Alligator mississippiensis: one gene and its partners. The protein of the gene in region 2 interacts with the protein of the main gene of each other region in a pairwise test. Links are inferred from orthologs where the notes say so. Each region holds a gene or a part of one and is shown on either strand. Other genes may lie near its edges.

The links.
Region 1: the proteins of WWP2 (region 2) and FBXL18 interact in a two-hybrid assay, tested with the Homo sapiens proteins (3 studies listed by BioGRID and IntAct). The link is inferred for Alligator mississippiensis from reciprocal best matches to the Homo sapiens genes WWP2 and FBXL18.
Region 3: the proteins of WWP2 (region 2) and ANKRD44 interact in binary tests that used the Homo sapiens proteins (3 or more experiments, as listed by UniProt). The two-hybrid records come from large-scale screens. The link is inferred for Alligator mississippiensis from reciprocal best matches to the Homo sapiens genes WWP2 and ANKRD44.

The regions. Positions count from the first base shown.
Region 1 is NC_081836.1:53,253,177-53,257,145, reverse strand, and holds the start of FBXL18 (F-box/LRR-repeat protein 18), read left to right. Parts: upstream 1-1,280; 5' UTR 1,281-1,398; coding exon 1,399-1,416; intron 1,417-2,095; coding exon 2,096-2,296; intron 2,297-3,969. UniProt on the Homo sapiens protein: Substrate-recognition component of the SCF (SKP1-CUL1-F-box protein)-type E3 ubiquitin ligase complex.
Region 2 is NC_081833.1:76,450,695-76,454,663, forward strand, and holds the start of WWP2 (NEDD4-like E3 ubiquitin-protein ligase WWP2), read left to right. Parts: upstream 1-1,485; 5' UTR 1,486-1,536; coding exon 1,537-1,581; intron 1,582-1,731; exon of another isoform or gene 1,732-1,821; intron 1,822-2,882; coding exon 2,883-2,967; intron 2,968-3,969. Other genes in the region: RNA-binding protein NOB1, read right to left, coding at 1-179, 295-432, 525-596, 718-851, 1,086-1,218, 1,334-1,417. UniProt on the Homo sapiens protein: E3 ubiquitin-protein ligase which accepts ubiquitin from an E2 ubiquitin-conjugating enzyme in the form of a thioester and then directly transfers the ubiquitin to targeted substrates.
Region 3 is NC_081827.1:192,931,359-192,935,327, forward strand, and holds the start of ANKRD44 (serine/threonine-protein phosphatase 6 regulatory ankyrin repeat subunit B), read left to right. Parts: upstream 1-1,335; 5' UTR 1,336-1,408; coding exon 1,409-1,444; intron 1,445-3,969. UniProt on the Homo sapiens protein: Putative regulatory subunit of protein phosphatase 6 (PP6) that may be involved in the recognition of phosphoprotein substrates.

The DNA of each region.
Region 1 (3,969 bases), on a different chromosome or scaffold from region 2:
CTCCTCTGAGGAAGCTTTTATCCTCCAAAGTGTACACCCAACCCAGGCAGCTTCCTCACTCAGCAGAGCTCACCCTTGCGCTGATGAGAAAAGATGCAGCTTGAAGCTTTAACCTGGGGCCAGTCATCGGCAGTGCCATTGAACCCTGCACGTATCAGAGCAATGCCTTCACCGCCAGAGCTAGAAGATACACGAGCTAAGACCGCAAGAAGCTTACGGCCACTGCAAGTGACCTGATCGCTGTTAAGACGTGGCAGCATGCCATGCACAGTGCCTCCGGGTGCATCCCTACCAGGCAGCTGCGCTGAGGCTTGCCCCTTTGCAAGCCTCTTTGTTGGGGCTGGAAGGAGACACAGGAGCGGGGAGGCCTTTGTGCTCCTTCCCACAAACAATCTGGAAGAGACTTCCCGAGGAGGTGGTGCAGTCCCCAACCTTGGACGTCTCCGAGACGAGGCTGCGCAAACACCGGGCAGCTGGGATCGTTTCATCTCCGCGGTCTTCCTGCCCAGATCAGCGGGGTTGGACTGCACGATCTTTCGAGGTCCCTTCCAGCCCTTCGTTTCTATGATTTCCCAAAAGCACACACTGGTGGGAAGCATCTGAGCGCTTTGGGAAAGCACGGCACGGAGGTCCTCAGCAAAGCCTTCGGTGGTCCTCTGGCAACACTAGCGGGTTCGGAGGAGTCAGGAACACGCGGCCCCCCCATGACGGAGCAGGTGTCGTGCTGCGGGGTGGGCAGCGGTCGCTTGTCAGCGGCTTCTCGCCCCCCCAGCCCCGGGGTTTCAGTGATGCCAGCAAGACGCCGTGTTATGTAAGAGATGAGGACACATGGGAGAGGCCGGAGAGCTGCCGGGAATCAGCTGGCATCTCCCTTGGTAAAGCCCCAGCTCCAGGAGTCCCGGGACAATGCAGCCGCTGTGTTGCTCGTTGGCCGTTCCCAGCCTCATGACCCCCAGCCCTGGGATGACATGGGGGGCGAGGAAGGAGGACATGTTACATCTATTATTCAACGAACTGACTAATACGTGAAGACTAGCCACGTCTGCACCAGGGATCAAAGTGACCCTGGCTACACAGCTAAGAGCTGGCTGTCCCAGCTAGTCTGCAGCTGGCTTTGTGCAGTGGAGCCCCCTGCCACACCCAAGATGGCACCTGCTCGCCGCGCCCAAGATGGCGCCGCCCGTCCAGCAGCGCGTGTGCCCCTCCCAACATGGCGGCACCCGCCCAGGCGCACGCGTGCCCCTCCCAACATGGCCGCCGCGCACCTCCCTCAAGATGGCGCCGGAAGTGAGGTCAGAGGGGCGCCGGAAGCGCAGCGTGGGCCCTGAGCCGGCTGGGAGTGCGACCGGCCGGGGACGCGGCTGGTTCAAGCGGCCTCGGAGCGCGGCCGCGGGGGCCATGTCCCGCCCCAGGGAGGTAACGCGGGGCCCCGGCACCCCCGGGTCGGTTCTCCCCCTCAGACCAGGGGCCTGGCCCAGGGGGTGGGGCGAGGGGCGCCTGTCCCAGGGGTTGGGGTAGACAAAAGGTCTGTTGAAGGTGTAATCGAGAGCGGGCGGGGGAAATCTTGGCCCTTGGAAATGGATGGCGGGTGGAGAGGCTGCAGCCTCTGGGGCGGGGGCGCGCAGGTGAGGGGAGGCTCTTTCTGAAGCGGCGGCGAGCTCTCGAGCAAGCAACGTGAAGAGCGCTCCCCTTATTTTTAAGTCGAAACTAGTGGGTTGAATTCGGTGAGGGAGAGGCCGGGTGCTGACGAGGGGGAGGGGGAGAGGCAGCACCCCATCTCGGGCAGCGGTTCCCGAACTCTGGCGGGTTGCGCGGCGCCGATTTAAAACGATACCACCTTAGGTACCCCCCAAATTACTGCCCTATAAAGAAAGGATAATAAATCTGTTAACGCGCGTCACTGACAGGTTGTCTGCGTACCGCGGTTTGGGAACCGCTGATCTAGAGGGAAGCGTAACTGTGCGGGCGGCTGGAGCGCGCAGCTCGGTGCCTGAGGAGCCGTATGCCCGCTCCTCGCGGTCGGACGGGGTCTGTCCCCGCTCTTCTCTGACTCCGCCAGGTGTTTCCAAGTCAAGTTGCTCCTTTTTGCTTTCAGGACATCCTGGGCGAGGAGAGCGGGGAGGACTGCCATGTCATGGACCTGATGGGGTTCTCCGACGAGATTCTTCTGCATATCCTAAGCTATGTCCCTAGCACAGACCTCGTCCTCAATGTCAAGAGAGCCTGCAGGAAGCTCGCGATGCTTTGCCTTGATAAGAGTCTAACCCACACCGTGGTGCTGCACAAGGACTATCAGGTGGGGGAAGCTTCCTTGATGGTCAGACTGGGCAGTATAGCAGGCGGGGGAAGCTTTCTTGATGGTCAGACTGGGCAGTATAGCAGGCGGGGGAAGCTTTCTTGATGGTCAGACTGGGCAGTATAGCAGGCGGGGGAAGCTTTCTTGATGGTCAGACTGGGCGGTATAGCAGGTGGGGGAAGCTTTTTTTGATGGTCAGACTGGGCGGTATAGCAGGCGGGGGAAGCTTCCTTGATGGTCAGACTGGGCGGTATAGCAGGCGGGGGAAGCTTTCTTGATGGTCAGACTGGGCGGTATAGCAGGCAGGGGAAGCTTTCTTGATGGTCAGACTGGGCAGTATAGCAGGCAGGGGAAGCTTTCTTGATGGTCAGACTGGGCGGTATAGCAGGCGGGGGAAGCTTTTTTTGATGGTCAGACTGGGTGGTATAGCAGGTGGGGGAAGCTTTTTTGATGGTCAGACTGGGCGGTATAGCAGGCGGGGGAAGCTTTTTTTGATGATCAGACTGGGCGGTATAGCAGGCGGGGGAAGCTTTTTTGATGGTCAGACTGGGGGGTATAGCAGGCGGGGGAAGCTTTCTTGATGGTCAGACTGGGCAGTATAGCAGGCGGGGGAAGCTTTCTTGATGGTCAGACTGGGCGGTATAGCAGGCGGGGGAAGCTTTTTTTGATGGTCAGACTGGGCGGTATAGCAGGCGGGGGAAGCTTTTTTTGATGGTCAGACTGGGCGGTATAGCAGGCGGGGGAAGCTTTTTTTGATGGTCAGACTGGGCGGTATAGCAGGTGGGGGAAGCTTTTTTTGATGGTCAGACTGGGCGGTATAGCAGGCGGGGGAAGCTTTCTTGATGGTCAGACTGGGCGGTATAGCAGGCAGGGGAAGCTTTCTTGATGGTCAGACTGGGCGGTATAGCAGGCGGGGGAAGCTTTTTTTGATGGTCAGACTGGGTGGTATAGCAGGTGGGGGAAGCTTTTTTGATGGTCAGACTGGGCGGTATAGCAGGCGGGGGAAGCTTTTTTTGATGATCAGACTGGGCGGTATAGCAGGCGGGGGAAGCTTTTTTGATGGTCAGACTGGGGGGTATAGCAGGCGGGGGAAGCTTTCTTGATGGTCAGACTGGGCAGTATAGCAGGCGGGGGAAGCTTTCTTGATGGTCAGACTGGGCGGTATAGCAGGCGGGGGAAGCTTTTTTTGATGGTCAGACTGGGCGGTATAGCAGGCGGGGGAAGCTTTTTTTGATGGTCAGACTGGGCGGTATAGCAGGCGGGGGAAGCTTTTTTTGATGGTCAGACTGGGCGGTATAGCAGGTGGGGGAAGCTTTTTTTGATGGTCAGACTGGGCGGTATAGCAGGTGGGGGAAGCTTTTTTTGATGGTCAGACTGGGCGGTATAGCAGGCGGGGGAAGCTTTTTTGATGGTCAGACTGGGGGGTATAGCAGGCGGGGGAAGCTTTCTTGATGGTCAGACTGGGCAGTATAGCAGGCGGGGGAAGCTTTCTTGATGGTCAGACTGGGCGGTATAGCAGGCGGGGGAAGCTTTTTTTGATGGTCAGACTGGGCGGTATAGCAGGCGGGGGAAGCTTTTTTTGATGGTCAGACTGGGCGGTATAGCAGGCGGGGGAAGCTTTTTTTGATGGTCAGACTGGGCGGTATAGCAGGCGGGGGAAGCTTTTTTTGATG
Region 2 (3,969 bases):
GTGGTGACGCACCCGACCTGCACGTCCGCGGGGGGAGCATCGCAGCGCCCCACGTCCTCCTGGATCTGCTTGATGTTGCTGGGGGTTATCCAGTCCTTCTCGTCATCGCTGTCCTCTTCACTCTCCTCCTCGGAGGCACTTTCCTCTTCCTCCACAGCAAGGGAAACCGGATCGCCTGTCTGCGGGGGACAGAGACCCCATCAGCTGTGCCCATGCGGGCGAGATGAGCCCTCCCAGAGACGAGCAAACCCAGGCAGAAGGCAGGGACGACGGGGGCGGCGCGCCGCTGCTCACCAGCAGCTCTCGTAGGTCCTCCTCGATGCTGGGCAGGGGCTTCCTCCAGTACAGGAAGGAGCCGAACTCGGGGCTCTCGCACGGCTGACCCTCCGACGCGGACGCGAACGCAGGCGCCTCTTCCTCTGTGCGCGCGCACTGGGTTTGGACAAATTAAAGGAAGTTACCGTGCACCGCTTCCCCCGGCCCGCACGGAGCAACGCCTACGCCCGCGGGGGCGCCGAGCGTACCTTGGACGGCAGGTGAAACCCAGGGACGTGCACGGGGGCCTCCGGGTGCCGAATGCTAGAGCTCAGCTTTACCTGCAGGGCAGTGACCCGTGACCGGGCGGTCGGTTGTGCACGCTTTCACCCCGGAGTGGGACGGTGCCCTGCCCTGGGGCAGCGCTCCGCTCCGCTCCCCACCCCACCCCACCCCCCATACCTGGTGCTGGGGCTCGGCCCGCAGGTGCGCGACGCCGCCGGTCTCGGCCTGCAGCTCATAGGTGAGCGCCAGCACCTGCAGGTCGGCGGGGGACAGCGACGGGAAGTCGCCCGTCTTCTTCGAGAACTCCGTCACTGCGGGGAGGGGGGCGGGGTCAGGGCCACCCCAGGCGTCTGGGCCAGGGGGCGGGGCCAGAGCCGGGAGAGGGGCGGGGCCAGGGGGCACCCCAGGCGTCTGGGTTAGGGGCGGGGTCAGAGCCGGGAGAGGGGCGGGGTCAGGGGCACCCCAGGCGTCTGGCCCAGGGGGCGGGGTCAGGGGCACCCCCAGGTGTCTGCGTCAGAGCCGGGGGGTCGGGGGCCAGCACTCACCCAGGCGCACGTGCTCGGGCCGCGGCTGGCGGAAGAGGAGCGGGACGGGCAGGGCCGCCAGACGCCGCCGCGCCGCGCGGTCGCGGATCTCGCCCACCACCTCGCGCACCGTGTACACGCGGCGGCCGATGTCCTGCGGGGAGGCGCCGTCAGCCCCGCCCCGCCCTGCCCCGCCCCGCGCCGACCCCCCCCCCCCCCCCCCGCAGTCCCGGCCCAGCCCGGCCCGGCCCGGCCCGGCCCGGAGCTACCTGCAGCGGCGCTGCCCGCAGGAAGGCGCCCGCGTCCACCACCACGTGCTCCACCGCCGCCATCTTGACCACGCCCCGCGGCATGCCGGGAGTCGTAGTCCGGCGGGCGGCTGAGGGGGGCTGCCGCGCGGGGCACGCCGGGATCGCTATCGCTCCTCCCCCCTCCCCGCCTCCCGTTGGGTCAGGTGACCTGCCGGCGTCACATGACCGCCGCGCGCCGAGCCGGAAGTGCCGCGCCGCCGTCGCCGGTAACCGCGGAGCGGGGGGAGGGGGTGGCCGTTGGCGGTTGCCCGGGGAACGGCTCGAGCCCAGCGCGCGTTTCCCTGCCCCCGCCCCTCCCCTCCTCTCAGGCGGGCGGGGCCGCGCGGGGCGCCCCGAAGCTGGTGCGAGTCGGGCCCGGGCCCGGGCCGGGGCGGGGATGCGCTGCGGCCGTGGACACGGCGCCGGGCCTCCTTGCCTTCCCGGCCCCGCGGAGCTGCGGCCCGGAGGTGGGTGGCTGGGGCGGGGGGACCCCCTGCCGCCCCTCCCTCGCCGGCGGGCTCAGGGGCGGTCGGCGTTCGCGACAGGGAAGGCGGCTCCGCGCCGGCACAGCGGTCATTCCGGCCCTTCTCCGCTGCCAGGGTGTTTAGCGCGTGCCCCGTCCTGCCCCTCCCCCTCCCCCTCCGCAGCTCCCGGCGCCGGTCGGGCAAGCGCCAGCCCGACTTGGGTTTGCGAGCGCCGTCCCGCGCGCCCGGCTCCTGGCCGTCGCTACGCCTGCAGCCGAAGGGGCCGCCGGCCAGCGCGGCTTCCTGCGTGGGACGAGGGGCAAAGTCTGGCAGCCGAAGGCACCTGGCTCCTGATCTCGCTCCGCCCTCCCCAACGGTCGCACCTGGCCAGGCAGGGCAGCAGCGCAAAAGCTGCGTGTGAGCTGGGTCGCGATCTGCGCCCGGCCCCGCTCTGGGAAACGGGGCGCGCGAGGATAAACACGTGTGTCCGCGCGGAGGAGAGGTGACCAAGGCGTGGAGAGGCAGGACGTGATCCCGATGGGCACTGCGCTGCGGCACGGGCCCTTCCTTTCCTCCGCGTGCCACGGTTGTGCCGCGGGAGGTGCAGCCAGCGTCGCCGCCCAGCTGCCTCTGGCCCCCGAGCACGCGGGCAGCTCCTTTTCTCCAGCCAGACGGCTGCGCTGGGGCAGCGGGGCCGTGAGATCGGCTGCTGGGTCTGTGCGTTGTCCCGGGGCCCCGGTCCTTTGCGGTGCCGTCCCCGTGAGGCCCGCTGTGTGTTGCTCGCACGTGCTCAGCCTCTTGCCGGGGGCTCCTTCGTGACGCCGAGTGGGCAGGCCCGTGGGGGTCGGCCGTGGCCAGGCAGCAGCGCTGCAGCCGCTGGGCTGCTCCCGGCCTGCGGTTCAGTGCTGACTTCTGGCTGCGCCTCTGGCATCGCCAGGGTCTGCCGGCCATCTGGGAGCGACCGGTCCCAGCCCCGCCGGGGTGGTCTCATCAAACGCAGCCTTGGGCTCCCCTGGCTCCTTGTGAACCTTCGCTCATGTGTCGTGCCTGTCTTTGCTTTCCAGACCCGTGGTAATGACATGGCCTCCGCCAGCTGCAGCAGGGCCGGGGCAGGGCTGCCCTGTGAGAAATCCCAGCTCTTGCTGAAAGGTGAGTGCAGGGCAGGGCCTGGGGGAAGGAGGAGCCCTGTCCAGGCTGGAACACCTTGCTTTCCAGCCAAGGGGTAGGATGTTCCTCAGCCCTGCACTCCCTCCCGGTGCCTGGGAGGAGGTGCGATGGGGAGAAGGCTGGCTTAGCCGCGGGTGCCAGCTGCGCTCGGGGATTGCACAGCTAAGTCCTGAGAGGCACAAAGCCTTCCAGAGTCAGATTTAGCAGCTGCCTCTTGTCAGTGCCCTGATCCCAGCACCAGAGTGGGGGACGATCCCTAGCCAGGGTGGGCTTGGCCACAGGGAAGTTGGGGCCCCCGGGCTGGCCCTGGGCAGTGGCTGAGCTGTAGAAGGTGCCTCATGGGCAGGCTTGGGCAGGAGACCTAGGAAGAGCCTTTGTGCTGAGCTGGAGCTGGGGCTCTGCTCGCTCCTCGCTCCACTTGGCAAGTAGGAGGTGGAGCCGGCGCTCGCTCCCGGAGGGCCGCCAGGGGGCTCCCGACACCTCCGGCTGCTCCCCCGGCTTCTGGCCTGCCCCTGCTCTCGTCGCCCTTCTTGCACCCCATGGGCTGTAGCATGACACTGCCCCACTACCGCAGAGGAGACGCCTCCTTTCTGGGCTCCCCGACACCTCACTCTTCCCCCTGGGCTGGTGGCTGGAACCCAGGTTCCTGCAACAGGGCTGGCTTCTCGCTTTGGCCACTGCTGAGAGGCACCTGGGCCTCCTTGGGCTGGGCCCAGCTGATGCGTTGTCCTGTAAGAGGCCCAGCAGTGCTATAAGCTCAGGGCACAAAGGGGAGCCTCGTGCAGGAGCGGGGTAAGCCTGTGGAAAGGCAGCTCCGAAGGCCTGGTTTTCCTGTGCCTGGCCGTGTGGCCTGGCTGGGGAGATTGTGCTGAGAGGGACAGACCCGGACACCCTGCGCTGGGCTCCTCCTCCGCTGATGGTGCCTGTTGCACGTGGGGCTGAGGAGTGGGCTGGCGACAGACGGTGACCGCACCTCTCCTGTCG
Region 3 (3,969 bases), on a different chromosome or scaffold from region 2:
ACCACCCCTAATACCATGCCCCAAGCCTCGCTGATGGGAAAGACGCTGGTATGTCTTTTTATAAATATATATTGCCCGTCTCTCGGGCCTCCTCTGCGTGCTCTTGCCCACTCTCTGGGCCTCCTTGTAATGTTGCCCCTCTCTGGGGCCTTCGCAATAGCTCCCCCGCTTGGGACCTGCTACACCCGTGCTGGGCTTCTCGGTAATGCCCCCTTCCTGGGGCTCTCCCTGCGCCCACACTCAGGCCTCTAAAATACCGCCCCGTCTGGGGCTCTCTGCGCCCACTCTGGGGACTTCCCAGCAATACCCCCTGACTCTCAGGCCCACCGCGCTGCTCTCCCCTTCTCTCAGGGCACACCGTGCTGCTACCCCCTCTCACCGGGGCAACCGCAGCACTCTACCCTGCTCTGGGGTTTGCCGCAGCACTAGCCGTTCTTCAGAGGCTCACTGCACCCGCACTGGGCCTCCTAATAATATTACCCCCTCTCTAGGGCTTGCTGTGCCTGTCCTGGGCTTCCTAATAACACTGCCCCCTCTCTCGGGGCTCGTTGTGCCTGCACTGGGCTTCCTAGTAATATTGCCCCCTCTCTGGGGCTCGTCGTGCCCGCACTGGGGCGTCTCAAAGCTGCCCCTCTCTGGGGCTGGGGTCTACGTACCCCGCACACAATGTCATCTTAACCCTATCAATGACACTTCAAAACCCAGTTTAAGATGAACCCGGATGAATGTAGCATCAGATTTAACTGATTTAGGTTATATTGGTTTATTGAACTTATGTCCCAGATCCCCTCCAGATTCAAGTTAACTCAGTCACCCAGCATCCCAGAATGCCTTGTACCTCCCTCACAAACCTCCCTTTACAGGGTGGGTGGGCTAGCCTTGACCAAAGCTGTTTGCTGCAGTGAGTAGGGAGATGTGCCCTAGCACTGCCCCCAGTGGCATATTGACAGGGGGATGGGGGGGCCATGCCCCTGGGCAGTGGTCTGGGAGGGGCACTGGCTGGGCCCTCTATGGGGTATCTGGTTCTGCCACCAGCATCTCCGGCTGGGGACAGGAATAGGGTGGGGAGGAGGGGGGTGCAAATGTAAATATTGGCCCCCAGGTGTCAGAGACCCACAGTATGTCACTGCACCCTCCAGCTTCTGGCCTGGGCCCCTGCGGGCATTTGGCTGCATCTCTGGAGTCAAAGGTGAATGTCTGCTCGCTTGCATATCTGTTCAGTGTGTGCAGCTTCGATTAACCTGCAAAGGTTGAATTGATTCTGCCGGGCTTTTTCGCTGTTTGTACTTAGCCAAAATGTCCATCTATTAAAACAGTAAAAACACATTTTTTATTGTTCCTTTGTGTTTTACCTTGGCAGCCACCACTGGTTCAAGCAATTTTCAGTGGTGATCCAGAGGAGATACGGATGTTGATCTACAAAACTGAGGATGTCAATGCTCTGGTAAGTGACTCTGTAAATGTATTTATATTGCAGTCCATGAGCAAAATAAGCTGTCCATGACTTTAACATTTATAAAAAAATTAAAACCAACACAATAAAAAATAGTTAGGAACTAGAGATTCATAGCTTAAATAGTAGTTTAAGTCAGTAATTAGGATTCTGTCTCCAGCATGTGGAAGTTATTTTTTTTAACTGTACACAATAATTACTTAAAATGTCCAGGTCAATCAGGGACAGTTTTCTCCAAGTCCCTGTTGTTGTGAATGAAGATAGCTGAAAGCAGCATATCGCGATTCTCTGTAGAATTTCCCTTTATAATGAGCCTGTGCAGATCAGGGGCTTTTCTTGAAGCTATGAATATACTTAAGATAATTTCACTGGAGCTTGCAAATGGCAGAAGTAAGGGAGTTTTAGCTTGGCCAGTGACATGCACACAGAGGAATTACTATACTGCAGATTTGCTTTATTTCTAGCCTGAACAATGGTAAGCTGCTGTAAACAACAGAGGTTAAGTATTTTCACAGTGGAAAATCTTAAACTGAACTGCCCTTTTTGCAGCAGCTTTTTGCCTTATGCTTTTCCCCTTCATGTTGAATTACAGTCAGGATGTTAAAATGAACAATTTTTGCTGGCATTTTGACTATAGTCTGTGAGCTCTGGAAGACATCGGGTGGGGGGGGGGAAAAAAAGAAGAGACAGAATACTGGTGTAGCTTAGCTGCTTTAAAACTGTTATCCTTTTCCTTTGTCTTTTCCATTTAACAACATAGTAATGATTTTATTCATAGTTAATTCTAGTGGTTTGCCTGATATAGCGCACTGCTTTGGGACTTCAACTTCTGTAGCCAATATTGTCCGAATGTCCAGTTGAGGGGAGGAAGCATTAGGGAGCAGTACTTGGGTCTAGTTAAATTGGACTCCATTTGACTTGCTGTGAAGTCAAGACTTGCTTTCAACTTGCACAGGAATCAGATCAGGCGCAGAGAGAGGGGGAAACAAGATTGGAGATCTGATCTCTTTGTAAATATCGGTTCTTGGGTCCTTTGCTAAAACCCTAAAACATGCTGATTTAATATATTGGCTTTTCCACATCCCCTGGATTTCCCACCCCGCCAATGATAAAAATTAAATTTTGCAACACGTGCCATTTCTAAGACGTTCTTTGTCCTGAACGTTTTAGCTCTTAAAAATGGCATTTGTTGTACAGATTAAGATGGTTGCATGCTTTCAGGTTCCGCTCTTGAAATGTTTTTATATCCCTTGGGCTCAAGGTTGCTGGGAAATGTTGCTATGGAGATGCACTCAATTGCTGGGTAAAACATTAAATGGGTTGTGTATACTTTAAATATTATGGTATTCACAACTAATGGAAGAAAGGTCATTGGACAGGAACATTTTTATGCAAAATCATGTTCCATATAATAAAAACCTTTCCAAGAATGTGTTGACCTAGCAGCAAACCTATCTTGAGCTAGAAAATTAAATGTTCTTTGGAGTAATTAAAAAGATCTTTGCCAAGATGCATTCAGAATCATTAATTTCAAGTATAATTTCAGGTGAATCACAAGCACTAGAAACATCACTATAAGAATGGGGATGGAAGAGTGCACATCTGTTACCTGCTGTAAGCTGGCTAGTCAAAGGGACTGCCTGTAATTCTCTTTAGGATGTTTTTAAATTACTTCCATGTTAGTGTTTGAGCAATGTTGGGCTACTTCCAGCCACTTGGTAGCAGTTGTTTCTTTGTTGATCATTTCTGATTAACTGGAATAATATTGACATTTGAAAGTGTAAATACAAAGTAAGAATAAAATGCAACTGCGTTCACAGTCAGCTGTGGAGTTTTTCTTAGCTTAAATGTCATGTTTCAGAGCCCATAGCAGAGAAGCTATTAATATAGCAGAACAAAATTGGATATGAGGAAACTATGAAAAGTAAGTGATACCTAACAATAGGAAACTGTGGCAAGGCTGTGTGAGAGTTGTTGTTTTCTAAGGAAAGAGAAAATTTAACTATGTGGGGAGGGTTAGTGGTGGGGTTGGGGAAGGGAGGGGAGACTTCATAGCTAGTCTCAAGATAGCAGGACAGATTTTGTTGCTTGGCAAAATAACTGAGAGCTCTTCCTGATCCTAGAGATGTCTCCAGAAATATTAAATAAAATGGCATGTTTATACCATCAAAGGATTGTTCTAGCCTATAGCTACTTCATGAACTATGCACCAACCATATGTAATGGAGCTGCCATGATGTAGTGTTGTGCCTGCATCAGTAAGCTCACTCTCTTCCCAAATGCTTTTTTGGTGTGCACAAAGGTATCCTGGTTTAGAGTGTAGTGTTCATTGTGCAGGTATGACACGTTTTAGGGCAGTGCTTTCTAATACAGTCCTTTTGTGTTGGCACTGACATACCTTAAGTTGCCGATGCTGCTGCTCTAATTGGGATTTTTATTTTGTATCCAAGTAGAAATTTGCATCTGTTTGGCTTAGAACCGTTTGTTTTAGTTCATTTTGCCAAGATAATGGTCAC